Linked DNA regions of Tamandua tetradactyla. The main gene of each other region encodes a partner of the protein of the gene in region 2 in a complex. Links are inferred from orthologs where the notes say so. Each region holds a gene or a part of one and is shown on either strand. Other genes may lie near its edges.

What was found.
Region 1: the proteins of S100A10 (region 2) and HLTF are in contact, whole or in part, in a crystal structure (PDB 4HRE), measured with the Homo sapiens proteins. The link is inferred for Tamandua tetradactyla from reciprocal best matches to the Homo sapiens genes S100A10 and HLTF. Residues at the interface, in NP_002957.1 of Homo sapiens: Phe42, Asp58, Leu59, Asp60, Gln61, Gln70, Ser74, Leu75, Ala77, Gly78, Leu79, Ile81, Ala82, Tyr86; in NP_001305864.1 of Homo sapiens: Thr32, Phe33, Phe34, Pro35, Phe37, Phe39.

The regions. Positions count from the first base shown.
Region 1 is NC_135331.1:42,025,936-42,033,458, forward strand, and holds the start of HLTF (helicase-like transcription factor), read right to left. Parts: upstream 3,179-7,523; 5' UTR 2,964-3,178; coding exon 2,944-2,963; intron 1,749-2,943; coding exon 1,541-1,748; intron 1-1,540. UniProt on the Homo sapiens protein: Has both helicase and E3 ubiquitin ligase activities. Possesses intrinsic ATP-dependent nucleosome-remodeling activity; This activity may be required for transcriptional activation or repression of specific target promoters.
Region 2 is NC_135330.1:3,154,687-3,162,876, reverse strand, and holds the start of S100A10 (protein S100-A10), read right to left. Parts: upstream 3,185-8,190; 5' UTR 3,107-3,184; intron 1-3,106. UniProt on the Homo sapiens protein: Because S100A10 induces the dimerization of ANXA2/p36, it may function as a regulator of protein phosphorylation in that the ANXA2 monomer is the preferred target (in vitro) of tyrosine-specific kinase.

The DNA.
Region 1 (7,523 bases), on a different chromosome or scaffold from region 2:
ACTTTCGAGACAAGAAAAAATATCCTCTGGTCATCAAGGCAAAAAAATCTCCAGTTTACTTATATTGGCATCAGAATTCTCACAGCAACATTTTAAAAATATCATGGAGAGAAAATATGGAATAAGGATTTTATATTCAGCCAAACTGCCCTTCAAGTACAAATGCCACAATTATGAACACACAAACTTCATGAAACAATGTTCCTTCCTAAGGAAGTTCCTAAAGGACATATTTCAGACAACCACAAAATGATCTGAACTTCAACATAAAGAAGATAAAGGGGAATGGAAGAAGAAACAGAGCAAGACGATGGAATTTCATCCCACGGAATTTCTGCAGGACATTCTCCAGGCAACAAAAAAATAATGTGAGAAGCTTCAACAGAAGGAAAATATGCAGGAAATGGAAAAACTGGCAAATCTAGAACATTCTATAGAAGTGATGTGGTTTCTGAACAAGTCAATGACATGTAAAAAGAGGTTGGGCTTCCAAGGCTTAATAACCACAGGTAATATATAAACCTTATTTGAATCCTGATTTGAAAAAAAACAAATATAAAAAGGCATTTTAAAAGAACACAGAAAATTTGATTATGTATTAATCAGATTTAACAAGGAATTATTATTTTGGTGAAAGAAAAAATGATATGCATAACAAAATGTCTGAATTTCTTATATGGATATAAAATGATGTTTGGAATCTGCTTTAAAGTACAAAAGGAAAAAGGAAAAAATGGTTAGATGAAGCAAATATTTAAAATCTTGTTAATTGCTGAATCTGGGTTATGGGTATATGGGAGTTTACTGTAATATTTTCTCTAATGCGTGTTTGAAATTTTTTATAAAAAGTAAATAAATGAAATTAGAGGTATATTATTATCTAGATAACACAGAGGCATACTAGACAACTGTGTCAAAGACTACAAACCAGAGAAAGTTATATATATTCTCTCTCTTCCCGTATAGCTCTTTCTCTCATACACACAATGCAGAGACTAGAAATAGAGAATGAGACATAGGAGGGAAAGAAAAGGTGGGAGTTAGAGAAATAGTCTTACTATAGAAAGGGACTAAAATTGGCAATTCCTTTACCTTGTAGGAGCTGATCAACCTAAATCAAAAATACGAAAGCGTAGAAATATGGCTGAGGGGCAGAAGTGGAGAAAACAATGGACTTGAAAGTCATTTCCCAAACTTCTATTTAGTATCTATGTGTTTTGGGCAAATATTTATCCTTTCTGAGCTTCAGTTCTTCAGTTATAAAAAGAGCTATCAGATGTACTCTCTACCTTAGAGTTATTGTAGGATCAAATGAGACAGTGCTGACCAAAGTATTTTGTTTATTTAGGTATGATATAAATGTAAGAGAATACTTTAAGTCAGAGAAGTTCAGGTATTTGTTATGTACTGTCTGAATATACTTCAATTACTTAAAGTAAAAATAGACAGTGACTACACATATCACCTTACAGATTTTCTAATTTTCAAGATTAATACCATAAACATATCAATCTAACTTAGTATCTACTGCTATACTCACTACTCCTGTGTAATAGCGTAGTCCAACCACATGACCTCTCAAAGTTCCAAATAAAACTGAATCTAGCTCTTCATCACTAGTTAGGAAGTCGTCTGGAGGGATAATATCTTGGAATTCAAAACGGGGGAAGAAAGTTGGATATGAAAGGCGTGAGAAGTTTCCATGGACTCCATACTGGACTGTCTGCAAGTACTTCCAAACAGGATCTCTATTAAAAAAAAGAAAGGGATGCAGAAAACAATACAATATTTAACCAAATATTTCTCAAAACTATACCAAAATTTATAGGCCAATAGTTTTCTCACAGTTTATTTTAGGAGACGAACTATATAAGAACACTGATTTACTCTGATTAACGCAAGAATTGAGGCGAGGGAGGTTTCCTAGAAACCGACTAGTCCAGTATTGTCTCCTCGACCCACCTGCCCAGCGCCCCTGGGTATCCAAAACGAAAAAATCTATAAGGTTTCACAAATCTCTTCCCCAGTGATTTAAATGTATTTAAAGTTAAATTAAGCTATTTAATCTGAAACGTATGCGATATCTTTAACTACAGTTTCGTGCCAAAATTTCACTGGGGTTTAAACTAGAAGAGACTTGACAGCATCACTACCATACATGAAGCAGTTTACATCTTCACGGATAAGACAGTCCATCTCTGGATTATTTTAGCAGACACCCATCCAGCATCCACTACTCCAATTTCCTCCGAATAAACCCTTATTTTATTCAGGTATCTGAACTACGCCAGGATGGGAATCTGATCTCCGTACCCCGCCGTCGGTTTAAAGGTAACTTCAAACTCCCTCTGCATAACTGTTTCAAGAATGGGCATGTACATCCATTCAGACAACGGTAAGCGAGGGGAAGTCTTTTAGGGGCTTTGAGGGAAAGTTTCCACCCTCCTCTGAACAGGCAGCCACTTCTTGGGACCTCTGCGTCTTCCTTGCTTATCGCGCACACCTCCTCTTTAGGCTCTGCTGCAGATATGTGTTTGCACGTCTGTGCGTGCACATCAGCTGTAAGCTCCTCTGGGGCACAAGGACAGCCGCACTCGGCCCTCTCCTTCCACTACAATGCCTAGCGCACGCTGAGCGTCTGATGGGTGTTTTATCGAATACAGGGCGCGCCAAGACCCTAAGGAGCGGAGTTCCGAGTCCCAGGCCTCCACACCCGATGACAGAGATTTCCCAAGGCCCTTGCACAAGAATTGCCTGAGGAGCCTCCCCTCGCCATCCGTGACTATGCCTTTATTTCTCCTGCGGCCACCGGAGCTACCAACAGAATGCATACAAGCCGCACAGACCGCACAGGGGACGCGGTGGCAGCGCGCGGAAGGTCAGGTTCACCTGGGGACGCCGCCCGCCGCTACCTCCCACGCCCCACCCCCGCCGCCCCTTTACCTCTTGAACATCCAGGACATGGCGCTGAACAGGGCGGCCAGGGGAGCACCTGGGCACCCTCAGATCGTTCTCGAGCCGGCGAGGTACGCCTCCTTCTCGGCCTGGCAGCCGGGAGGCGGCGGACAAGTTCAAAGCGCCAGAGGAAAAGCTCACGACTGGAGGGTAACACGCCGCGAGCCCAGTCAAACGTCGACGCCGTCTCCTTCTAGCAGCAATCTGAGCGACCAGAAACCTTTTGTGACTGGCATTGGGGTCGTCCAATTGAGAAGACGAGTTTACGGACACGAGCCAATCAGGACAGGGGAGGGAGGGCGACTCCACCCCGCGGTGCGATTCAAAGGCGGTGGGGGTCCGGGACGCAGGGGCGGCTCCATCCGGGTCCTTCCCCCGCCCCCAAGACGGCGCGCGGGAAAGGCGCGCGGGAAAGCCACGCGGGCCCGGGGGCTGAGCTGTGGTGCCCTCGGTGTGGGCTTTCTCTTTGATTCCCGGCCTCAAGCAATAGCAAATGAGACTCCCTTCTGCTTTATTCCTGAGTCCTAAGCCTCACCCTCATTCTTCAACCCTCTGTGGGCTGGACCCTCCAGGTGGTGGGCTAGGTCCGGGCCCGTGTCCCTCGCACCAGTGGAAGGAAACCCGGTTCGATAAAGCAAAGCAGCACTTTAGTTTTTAGCTGAAGAATAGAGAAGGGTGGGCTTGTATCCAAAAAAGACACCTTCTCACCAATGGGAGGTGTGAGATTCGTTTATGGGGGATGAGGGGCTGGCTTGGGTATGTGCAAGTGGTCCCATGAGCATCTTTGCTTTCTGCATCTGCAGTTAGCACTTTTGCACTTTTCAACTGCATGTGGTGTTCAGCCGTGGACGTCTGAGCTGTACTTGTGGTTTCCAGCCTCCTGCACTTCGTTTCTGAAAGCAGGCCTAGCTTGGGCAAAGATTGGGTGCTTGGTTTCTGAAAGCAAGCATAGTTCAAATAAAGGGAGGCTAGAAATTTTTATCAGCGCTAATTCAAGGGTCGCGCTTCATCCTGGTAATACTCAGACCTTACCTCATCCTGTCTCCGACTTTAATCCCGTCTGAAGTGATGTGTATTAGGGTCTATGACTAAATAAGTTTCAGGGTGTATGAGACCTGGAGTTAGCAGCAAGATGCCTTCCTTCATTTCCTGCGGGGTGGGGGTGGGGGGGGAATTATTCTCAAAATTAAATTTCACCTTAAGCCTACTAGCCAATCTTTGCAACACCCCGAGTTCAGCACATATTAATTTGAACCTAGATTTATAGAGTGCGCCTCCCACATCTTTCCCTTCTTTCTGAAGAAGATTTTTCCACTTCTTAGTAAAGGAACGACATAAGAGGTGCCAACAGCACTACTCATTTTGTTGGGAATTGCAGTTAATGGACGGAACCAGCTTCCCCTGAGGCATGCACCTGCCTAGTTTATCTTAAGGAACTGTAGGGAGCTGAGAGCTCCACCTCTGGCTTGGGAAAGTCTGAGGAGGATGCAGAGAACTGGGTGTTGGGTGGGTGGGCCAGAGGGCCTCAGCGAGGCTGTCCTTGCTAACCCCTTGCCATAGGAGCCCAATAGGGAAGGCTTTCAACGGGCGCAGCAGCTGCCCCAGAGCTGGGCTTTGAGCTACTTGTACTGCACAGGAGAGCTGTCCCACAATAACTGGTTCAAGGAGACATAGAATTGTAAATGTGATAAAAAAATTTTGACACCTGTCCTTCATAGAGTGGTTCATTTTACACTCCCATCAGCAGAGTATGAGAGACGTCAATAGAACAGTTTTTCAGTTTTTGTTTATTATCCTAAATAAAATTTGGTGGCCATAAACATGAATCAGCAGAATGAGAAGCAGAATTTGCAGCAATTTATTTCTTCAAATAAACAGAAGGAAGATGATTGGAAATTTGAAGACAGTGGCATTTCAAATTATTTTAACTATTTGGTTAGAAAAAATCTAACCATTTTTTCCTTTTTCCTTTTGTACTTTAAAGCAGATTCCAAACATCATTTTATATCCATATAAGAAATTCAGACATTTTGTTATGCATATCATTTTTTCTTTCACCAAAATAATAATTCCTTGTTAAATCTGATTAATACATAATCAAATTTTCTGTGTTCTTTTAAAATGCCTTTTTATTTGCCTTTAACTTCTTGTATTATTACAACGCTAATTTCAATGCAGTTCCAGTTTTTAGTGTGCCGATTCTAAACAAATTATTGGAATATATGCCAGAAAATCCCCACAATGATAATGTTTTGTATGGAAAGTTAATGAAGCCATCTTCATAGGTTGAAAGATAACATTCCAGATGTGTCAAATATGAGACTAAAGGCCATTCTGTCTTTCAAAATTCAAGACCTATGAATAATAACAGTTCCATGGTTAAAGGAGGTGGCTTCAAGTTAATATTTGCTGTTTAAATTCCCCACTTTTCCACACATTGTCACATTTTACATCCCAAATTCAACAGTGGAATGTGAACACTCTGTTTTTTCATTTCATTATTCTTTATTCTTTGTATGTGAAAAATTGCATTTAAGTGGAGTTTTCTCTAGTTTGATTAAAATGTAACAACAGTTAAAAATTCAAAAATATCACAGTAGATAATTTTTCCTGAAAAATGAACCGACTGTAAGTGAATGAAAGGGAACTTGTGTAGTTGAACTGATGAGTAGGAGGAAAGTGGCACAAAAAGAAGATGGTCAGGAAGGTAAGGCGGTCAGGTCACAATGGAACTTATGATCTATGGTAAGGTTTATATTTTATTTTAAATATGGTTGGAAGTCAATGAATGTTTAAGCAGTTCTATGGATATGAATTATAGAGAAGAAAAGAAGCAAAGAAAATAGTTGATAATTAGGAAACTACTGTATGCAGGTCAGAAATGATGGTGGCTTTGAATGGAGAGGTGGTATTGCTAAGAGAGCAAACAGGGTTTGCTGATAGTTTTGGTTATGGGTGATGAGGAAAGGGAGGGGCCAGAAAATTCCTCCAGCCTCCCAACTCCCAGTTACAAGTGCACTTTCTCATCTCCTCTTCATGCAAGTCAATCATGTTACCCCATTATTGTTTGATGTCACCTGCATAAAATCAAAGGATGGCATATGTGGGCTTCATTCTGTCTCTTAGCTCCTGCTCCAGCTTCTTAATCTCTTGTTGCTTACCATTCCACCATAGCTTTCAGTAACTTCTCTAAAAGAGATACAGATATTTTCATATTTGTATTGATTTCATATTCATAAGACCATTATCACATTCAACAAAATTAATAATGAATCAATCTTTGATGTCTTCTAATAACTAGTTCATAACTACAGTTTCACAATTGTCTCAAAATATCCTTTTACAGTTGCTTTGCAAAATAAAATTGTGAAGCCTTTGGCAACAAAAATAACTTTAAGAGAAGATGCTGGAGTTCCAAATGTCTGACTTTAATCCCAAAACTTCCAAGTTGATGTCATGACTAATAGATTCCAGAAGAATATATGATGATGTAAGAGCTTGTTTGTTTGCTTGCTTGCTTCACCTGAAAGGAGAAGAAGTTCAATGGATGAGGAAATTTTTCAGGAATGACAGGGAAGAGGGTTTGCAGAGTAAATCCTTAAGTGGGTTACTGGGAAAAGACCTTGAATGCCTCACCCAGGCCAGGCTCCACTAAGGGAGGGGTGATAGAAAGCCTAGGAAAGTTTCCAAAGATTCCGCAAGAAATGGAAACTGTGCGTCATTGCTCAGGATTCCCTTAGGAATTCTCTTAGGATTCTGCAGATCTTAGAGTCTCAGAGATCAGAAATGTCCCAGAGCAATAAAGAAGTAAAGTAAGTGAGGTAGCTCTGCTAAAGGGTGCAGAGGCATCCTTGTGGAACCCTGAAAGAGTCCCCAGTGAATCTCTTGCACTGTTCTGGGAAGCAAGAACTTCAGAAGCAAGAGGCTGATGCCCAAAGATAAGATGAGATGAGTCATATCAGCAATGGGTTCCTACAGAAGACGAATGCAGTCCAGACATAAATCTCCTGGAGAGAAGGAGGAAGGGGACTGAATTTGGACCTGAGTTTGATTGGATTTAAATCATAAATGAATTACCTGGGAGATAAGTTGCCTCCCATCAGGTAGATGGGAGGTTTAAGGCAAATTAAGTTCAATAGAAGTAAAGGCTTTTCTTTGCAGATAGTAATTGAAATTCATGCTTGCCATATATTACCCATACACACATAACTCAGTGGATTCATACCTAGATATTTAGAGCAGATATCTCTAGCTGATTGAATTTGGAGATTTTCATTTCCTTCTTTTTGTTTACATACATGTAAAATGTTCTCTACATGGAACATGCATTGCTTTTTTGCTATAAGAAAATAAAACAAACTGTAGCAAAAAATTATGAACCATTTTTTAACTTTTAATTTTTAACTAGCTTTGACTTACAGAAAAATTTCAAAAACAGTACAGTGTGTTCCATCATATCCTCTACCCCACTCATGTTAATACCATATATAACCATAGTATAAATAGCAAAGACAAGAAATTAACATTGGTACAATACTATTTTGGAACCATGTTTTTTAAATAACTGA
Region 2 (8,190 bases):
GTCTCTTTTGTAGATCCAAGTTCCCTTGGTCTAAAGCTGTGAGTTTTTCTGCATTTATCTTTTAGCCACTAAATAGCCATTTGTTAAATGAGGGAATGACTGCCTCAGACAACTTCCTTGGCAGGAGCCGAGGTCTGAGTGTGATTGTTTAGGACTGGGCTGCAAACCTTAAACCTGAGCTCAAGGCTCGGAGCTGGGAGGGGCCAGGAAAGGGGCCGCAAAAGGGCTCACCTGTGAATGAAACAGTAGTGCACACAGGAAAAAATGCATGTCCTGCTAAACAGGTCTGGTCAGACCCTGGCATGCCTTTTTCCTCTTCTCACTTGTGCTGTTGTCACGTCTTTCTGTTTATCCCATCTTCTGCCTCATGCTCAATAAACTGGTAAGAATGAAACTGATACTCGTATGTACGTTTGAACCATCCTGGGAGTGACAGGGGAGCAGGGGCCCGCTTAGCACAGAGCGTCTGCTCCTGAGCAATCTCAAATGTTTGCTCTGGACCTATGCCCAGAACCGGCCGTAATTTCAAAGAGAACACTTCTCCTGAGCACGAGGTCGGATTTACTTTGCTCCTCTGTGCCTCACCCTTAGTCTCGCTGTCTTACAGCCCACCCAGAAAATAACTGGCGGGGTGTCAGTGATAGCAAACATCTGTTATTGAAAATGTGTTTGAGGTTTCCTTCCTTTGGCTTTGGGAATTTTGAAAAAAAAAAAAGCATTTAAAAATTTTTGCTTTCTGAAAATTGAACCAAAGAGGTTTTCATTGAATTTGATCCTTAAAAGGAATTCAGAAGAAATGAACTGAGGCAGTAGGTCAGGATCCAGGTTGTCTCTCAACTTTTTACCAACAAAACGTGTCCCTTAAGGAAGTGGACAGCAAAGGAAAGTTCCAGAAACATCCAAAAGGAAGAAAACTTAGACGCCTCCTCTGTCCCAATGAAGTACACCCATTTTGCTCTCATCAGGCATCAATCTGAACCAGTAAATAGATGTAGTTATTTAACGAAGAGACCGAAGTGCTAAGAACTGCTGTTAAAAATATTTAAATTCATTGTTTTTGCTTTTGATGGGAGATTCCTAAATTAAGTGCCAGGAAAAGGAGACTCTTAGGAATGCTCCTACGATTTTTGTCAAGCTTTCCCAGCACTCTGAATGCTAATTTACACATTATAACACTGAAAGGATTCCATTGTTTCCCTCTGGTTTTACTTTAAAAGACTTGACTGTATCCAGAGGCACACCAAGTGGGGAGTGTTCTAAAAAAGCCACATTTTTGGAACTGTCTGTGGAAAGCAGGGACGCACCCAGGCCCAACTCCACAGCTCCAGGCCTGACCTCGCGGGGGTGGCTGCTTGAGGCTGGCCAGAAGCCAGGCGTGGGGAGAAAGAGGACCCAAATGCCATATGCTCGGGAGAAGCCAGGAGAAGCATCACCTAGAAATCAGCCTGATACCAAACAACTGCTTTTTATACAGGAGAGCCTCAAGAAATTTTGAAAAACTGCAATAAGAAGCCCCAAATGGTGGATCAAGGACCTCAAGGAAGAAGCCAGCTTGGCGCTGTTGAGGAGAGTATTTACCATTTAGAAAGGGATGAATAAATAGAAACCAGATAGGAATCTGTGGGGGCAGGGCTGATGATGAAATTCCAAATGAATTATATGCACTGGTTCCTGCCCCACCCCCTGGCATTATCTTTTGCAATCTGCTGAAACAAGTTGGAAGCAAAGATCACTGCAGGGTGTTTCCATGAGTCTGACCCCACCTCTAAGTGCAGGATATAAAAATCTACTCCTGGAGGTTGAAATTCAAGCTGCAGAGGGAAAAAAAAAATCTGCAGCCACCGCAAACCTCTTAACGGGAAAAGCTACCTCCCAAGTAAAGCCGGGGCAGGCTGCCAGGCCTTAGGGACCCATAATGGGGTGGCATGGTCTCGCCATGACTCTGCCAATCTAATCACTGTCCTTACAGTTCAGGAAGATAGCTCTCCTTCAGACCGTGGGTCAGTCCTGGAGTGACTCACTTCCTCCTGGAAAATGCCCTCTAAGATGGCACAGTTCCCTTTTCCTCCAGGGAGTGTCTGTCCATCTGCAGAGTCTCTGGCAGCAGCAGGGCCCCGCCCACATGGTCTCACCGCTGAGTCACCAGCCCCTTCACCGCTAGAGAACCCCCAGCCCTCCGTGGTAACCCCACCCTGCAGGACTCCCAGCCCCGTGGGAGGGGGCGGGGCTGGGAGGGCGAGGGGAGGGCGGTGGGCTTAGAGTGACCCAGGCTGGCCTAGGGCTCTGCCGTGCCTGGCCTCGGGGTTCTGCTTGCTTTCAGTTCGGCGAGGCCGGCTGCAGGGTGCTGCCCGGGCCAGCCTCCAGCGTGGAGGGGGCACCCTGGCCCCACCGACCTCTGTCCCACGGCACTCGGCCAGGTTCATCTGGGCTGGGGAGAGCTGCCCTCCAGCCCGCCCTCGCCCGTCTCCCTCCCAGTCCTCTGATTTAGTTCAGATGGTAAGAAGGGGAAAAGTCCATCAGTGGAGAAACCAAGTCAGGCAGGGCCCCTGTCTCCTCGCTGTGCGGAGAAAACAGACGGCGCGCGCTCGCTGCGCAGTGGGGCCCCCGTCTCCGAGGCAGACAGGAAGCCCGACCCGAGGGCCCTGGCGCAGGTCTGAGGAGCATCCCGGGGAGGGCCCCGCCCGGCCCCCCGCCCCTGCTACCACCCCCTCCCCCCGAGGGCGCAGGACCGTCCAGCCCGGGGTGGGCACCTCTGGACAGAGGCGGGGCCCGCGAGGGCCCCCCCATGCCGCGGCCAGGACGGCGGGACGCGGCGTCTGGAAAAGCCGACAGCGTGGACGAAGGGCAGGCAGGCAGCGGCAAAGACCGGCTGACGACCGGGCGGGAGGAGGGCAGAGGCCCGGGCCAGGTCCCGCGGCAGAGGGCAGGCAAGGCAGGTGGCCCCGGCCGCGCGCTCGCGGGGCGGCGGAAGGCGCGGAGTGGCGGGGGGCGCGGGGCGCTCGGCTCGCTGGCCTGGGGTCGCGGGCTCCCGGCACTGGGGTCCGGGGGCTGCCCCGGGTGGGGACGGTCCGGGCCGCGGGCGGTGCGCGGGCCCGGCGGGGCTCACCTTGGCCGGAGGCGGCGGCGGCGGCGGCGGGAGCGGGGCCTCGGGAGCGGGGACGCGGAGCCAGTGAGCGGCGCGCGGCGGGCGGGCGCCTTAGTACGCGGGGCGGCGGGAGGGGCGCGGGCGGGAGGGGCCTGGCCGGGCCGGGCCCTCCCCACCCTCCCCTCCCTGCGCCGCCCACCCCGTCCCCGCCCCCCGAGGTGCACCGCGCCGCCCGCCGCGCCCCTCAGGACCTCCCGCCCGCCCGGGCTCGGCTTCGGAAACCCGGGGTCCGGCGGTGCCGGGGCGCGGCGCGTCGGCCAGGCGCAGAGGCGGCTCCTCCGCGCCCCGCAGGCCTAGGGACTGTTTCCCAGAAGACAGCGCCGGGAGGGGCGCGGGCAGAGGGCTCTCAGATTCCGTTCACTTCCGCGCTAGAAGCCGACCTGGGCGCGTCGGGGCCGGGAGGTGGGGGGGGGCTTGGGGGCGGTGGGAGGGAGGGGGATGAGGGAGGGGGTGGGGGTGAGGGAGGGGGTGAGGGAGGTGAGGGAGGGGGTGAGGGAGGGGGTGGGGAGGTGAGGGAGAGTGTGAGGGAGGTGAGGGAGAGGGTGAGGGAGGTGAGGGGGTGAGGGAGGGGTGGGGAGGTGAGGGAGGGAGTGAGGGGTGAGGGAGGGGGTGGGGAAGTGAGGGGGGTGAGGGGGTAAGGGAGGGGGTGGGGAGGTGAGGGAGGGGGTGAGGGAGGGAGTGGGGGGTGAGGGGGGTGAAGGAGGGGCTGCTTGGCTCTCCGCCCAGGGGCGTTTCCCCCTTTGTTGAACGACGGGTTTCCACCCCCTGGGTCCGCGTGGCTGCATTATGTCAGTAGCTCAACTTCAGATGTGGTTGATATCGTTAAAATCTAAGTTTTAAAATCTTTTTTTCGTTCATTAGCCAGCTCGGCCCCCCGAGCTCTTTTGCTTGAAGGCATACAGAGAAAACCTAAGTGTTTCTTAGCGATCCCTAACCGTGGACGTTTATTTTAACTGTGGACATTTATTTTAACTTTGTTGAATGCAAACTCCTAGCAGCTGCTGGCTGAAGAGGGCGCAGTCCCAAGGTCTGGGGTTTTCCTTCCTACTTAGTTCCTAGGGGAGGTCCCGAGAGGAGTGAGTGATCCCGAAGGAATCAGCCGACTGGGGAATCCTTCAAGCGTGGCCCTGTGACTAATCCTAGCAGCTGTCAGGAAAACCCAACTTAAGTTTCAGCTCTGACCCCCCTGGGCCCCTGTGCCGTCTCTTCCAGGGGACAGTTCCTCAGCCTTCCTGGCCCCAGGTCGCCGTCCCCAGTGGAAAAAAAACCCGGTTCCCCGTTCCAGGGAAGATTGCAGAGCTGAGCTTGCCTACTCCTGCTTACTCGTTTAATTTCCTCCTGTGGTGCCTAAGTGTTTCGGGATGCTTGCAGTGTGTGTCAGGCCCTTGGGATTCAGAGATCAGAAGACTCAGTGGCTTTCCTCAGAGACCCGGTTATTGTTAGGAGATCAGCAGGCAAGGAAAATGCAGGTGGGTAGTGAGGTGCAGGAATGGGTGGGACACTCCAGGAGCAGTGAGCAGCGGCGCCGGGTCACGCTGCAGTGGTCAGGGGAAGGTCCGGGAGGACGCAACCTTGGAGAGAAGTTTTAAAAATAACAGTAACTTCTGATCCTTTTTTTGGGGGGTGAGGGTGGGGGTGCCTGGTCCGGGAATCAAACCCACATGGGAGGTGAGCATTCTACCCCTGAACCACCCGTGCACCCTGATTTTTAAATCTGATTGTAAAAAGATTACATTCCTGTAGGTTTAGAAAATGCATCAGTGTTTAAGAAAGAAAAATTTATGTGTAAACTCATGAACTAAAGGTGAACATTTTCTTATATTTCCTTCGGTCTTTTTATGCATGTGTACATATGTATTTACAGATTTGTGATCACACTGATGTAAAATTATAAATTCTACTTTTGTCATGTAACACTTTATCCTTACTATTTTCATTAAATATATATATATTTTTCTCACTGCTGTTCATTAAATGTTAAAACATTAAACACATTTTACATTAAGTATTTGTCAAGACTGTGAGTATATGTGTGAGCATGAGCATATTTTATTGTGTATGATGCTGGAATGAGTTCCTTCATGTGACTTTCAAAAAAAATGCAGTTTTATTGTGATGTATACACCAGACAGATCATCACATGGCTTCTTTTTTTCCTCGGGTGCATGGGTTGGACTCAAACCCATGCTGGCAGCAGGGGGGATTGTTTTACTTAAGTGGATATTTTCCCACTTCTCTGTTTGATAGTAACAAGCTCCTGTCATCCAGTGGTGCTCAACGGTTTGCAGTTTTGCGGCTGTGGCCAGGAGGTCTGGCTGTCCCCAGAACGCCTGCCTCCTCTTCCAGGGTAGACTGCTGCCGGGAAGTGGCTGCCCAGCCGGGAGGGTAGACTGCTGCCGGGAAGTGGCTGCCCAGCGGGGGGTTACACGCCTGGCACCCCTTGCACCTGGGTGGGGCCTGGACTGGTCACCCACAGAATGGGACTTGAAGCATGTGTCACTTTCAGGCCAAGGCAGTCCGGAGGTGACTTTCCCACCTTCTTTCTCCACGTCTGCAGGACTCTGAGGCTCTGGGCCAGAGGAACCAGTCAGAAGGACCCTGGGTCCCTGAGTCACCCCGTGGAGGAAACTGCCTGCCAAGCAGAAGGCTCCCATTGGGCTAGCTTTGGGAGTGAGAAAATCTCGAGATTTGGGGATTTATTTGTTCAGCATGACCCTAACGCATACAGCCACATTCTTTTGAGTATTAGTATTTTTGGCAGCACAGTCAAAAGACTTGAGTTGCATGTTGAGTCATTACTGTATTATACCGATCACACTTCAGCACCGTGTCACTGCTTGGGCAGAGCCGTTTGCTGTCCTGACCCCTCTGATCTGGGAAATGCATTGTTTCTTTGTCTCTCTATGTATATCACATTGTACCCTGCACCAGTAGAAGCCTCACTCCATGTTTGTCTGCCCAGACATTGAGTTAACAGGGGAAATCACAATTGTAGCAAAGATACACTTTCCTGTCAGTTAAAACGTCCTATTAAGGAATCACAGCATCATGTCAGGTGATAACCGCTGATTTATGGATATCTAGTCAAGACTCGTTTGCAGGCAATCCAAAAGCCAAACCAACCAAACAAAAAACTCAAGTGTGAGATATAACTGATTACATTTCCCATATTTTTTTAACATTTAGGATGATTCCAACTTTTTGCTGTCATAAATGATTATATGTAGACCTGACTATTTCTTGAATAAACATCTCTGTCTATGTGCAATTTCCTTAGGACAGATTCCTATCAGAGGATATCAATTACCTTTGGTTTAAATGGGTTTTAAAGGACAAGTAGGAATTAGCCACACTAGAGGGAGGTACCTGAAACTGTTGAGCTGTGTTCCAGTAGCCTTGATTCTTGAAGATAATTGTATAACTATATAGCTTTTTAAAATTTTTAAAAAATTTTTGTTTATTTATTATATTTTTTATTTTTTTAAAATTTTATCTATTAAACATACCAACATACAAACACGAACATTCTTACCATATGATCATTCCATTCTACATACATAATCAGTAACTCACATATCATCACATAGTTGTATATTCATCACTATGATCATTTCTTAGAACATTTGCATAAATTCAGAAAAAGAAAGAAAAAGAAAACAGAAAGAAAATTCATAAATACTATACCCCTTACCCCTCTCTTTCATTGATCACTAGCATTTCAATCTACTCAATTCATTTTAACATTTGTTCCCCCTATTATTTATTTATTTTTAATCCATATGTTTTACTCGTCTGTCGATAAGGTAGATAAATGAAGCATCAGACACAAGGTTTTCACAGTTACGCAGTCACACTGCAAAAGCTATATCATTATACAGTTATCTTCAAGAAACATGACTACTGGAACACAGCTCTACATTTTCATGCAGTTCCCTCCAGCCTCACCATTACATCTTGAATAACAAGGTGATATCTACTTAATACGTAAGAATAACCTCCAGGATAACCTCTCAACTCTGTTTGGAATCTCTCAGACATTGTTGACACTTCATTTTGCTCATTTCTCTCTTCCCTCTTTCGGTCGAGAAGGTTTTCTCAACTCCTTGATGCTGAGTCCCAGCTTATTCTAGGATTTCTGTCCCATGTTGCCAGGAAGGTTTACACCCCTGGGAGTCATGTCCCATTTAGAGCGGGGGAAGGCGGTGAGTTTGCTTGCCGTACTGATAGAGAGAGGCCACATCTGAGTAACAAAAGAGGTTCTCTTGGGGATGACTCTTAGGCCTAATTTTAAGTAGGCTTGACCTATCCTTTGCGGGGTTAAGTGTTGCTTCCTATGAAATGGAGCTCGAACGATATTAAGGAATGATGAGAAAGAAAGAAAGAAACAGATGGGTTCAGGGGGTCTGAAGCTTAGAAAACAGATAACTTTATTTTTAATTAGTTCCTGCTTCTATATTGCAGGGTTTAGGTGACTAAAAGCAGGCATACATTTCGTGAAAAAAACAGAGTGCCTACTTATCAGTATATTACTCTCTACATACAAGAGATAGCTAACAAGACCTTGGGGCTTAAGAAAAAACAAACATTCTCTCCCTCTCAGGCTGTCCTCCAGTTAAGCAGATAGCAGTCTCCACAGTTTACTGCCGACGCCACTCTGAAGCCAGTTGCTCCCAACAAATTCTGCAGGTTTTCCATTAACCCTGGCTCCCACATATAAGTTTCATATGAACAAACCCCAAGACTGGGGGCTCAGCCTATTGCTTTGGTTGTCCCCCTGCTTGTGAGAATATCAAGAATTCTCCACTTGGGCAAGTTGAATTTTCCCCTTTTCTCACCATTCCCCCAAGGGGACTTTGCAAATACTTTTTTATTCACTGTTCAGATCACTCTGGGATTTATCAGGGCATCACTCTGGACAAACCAACAAAATCTCATGCCTTACTCAAGGTTCTGTGTACTGTGGTGTTCAATTAAGCTATCCACATAAGTTATATTAGAAAATGCACTAGTCAAAATAAAAATTTTGTACTAAATAAACATTTTTT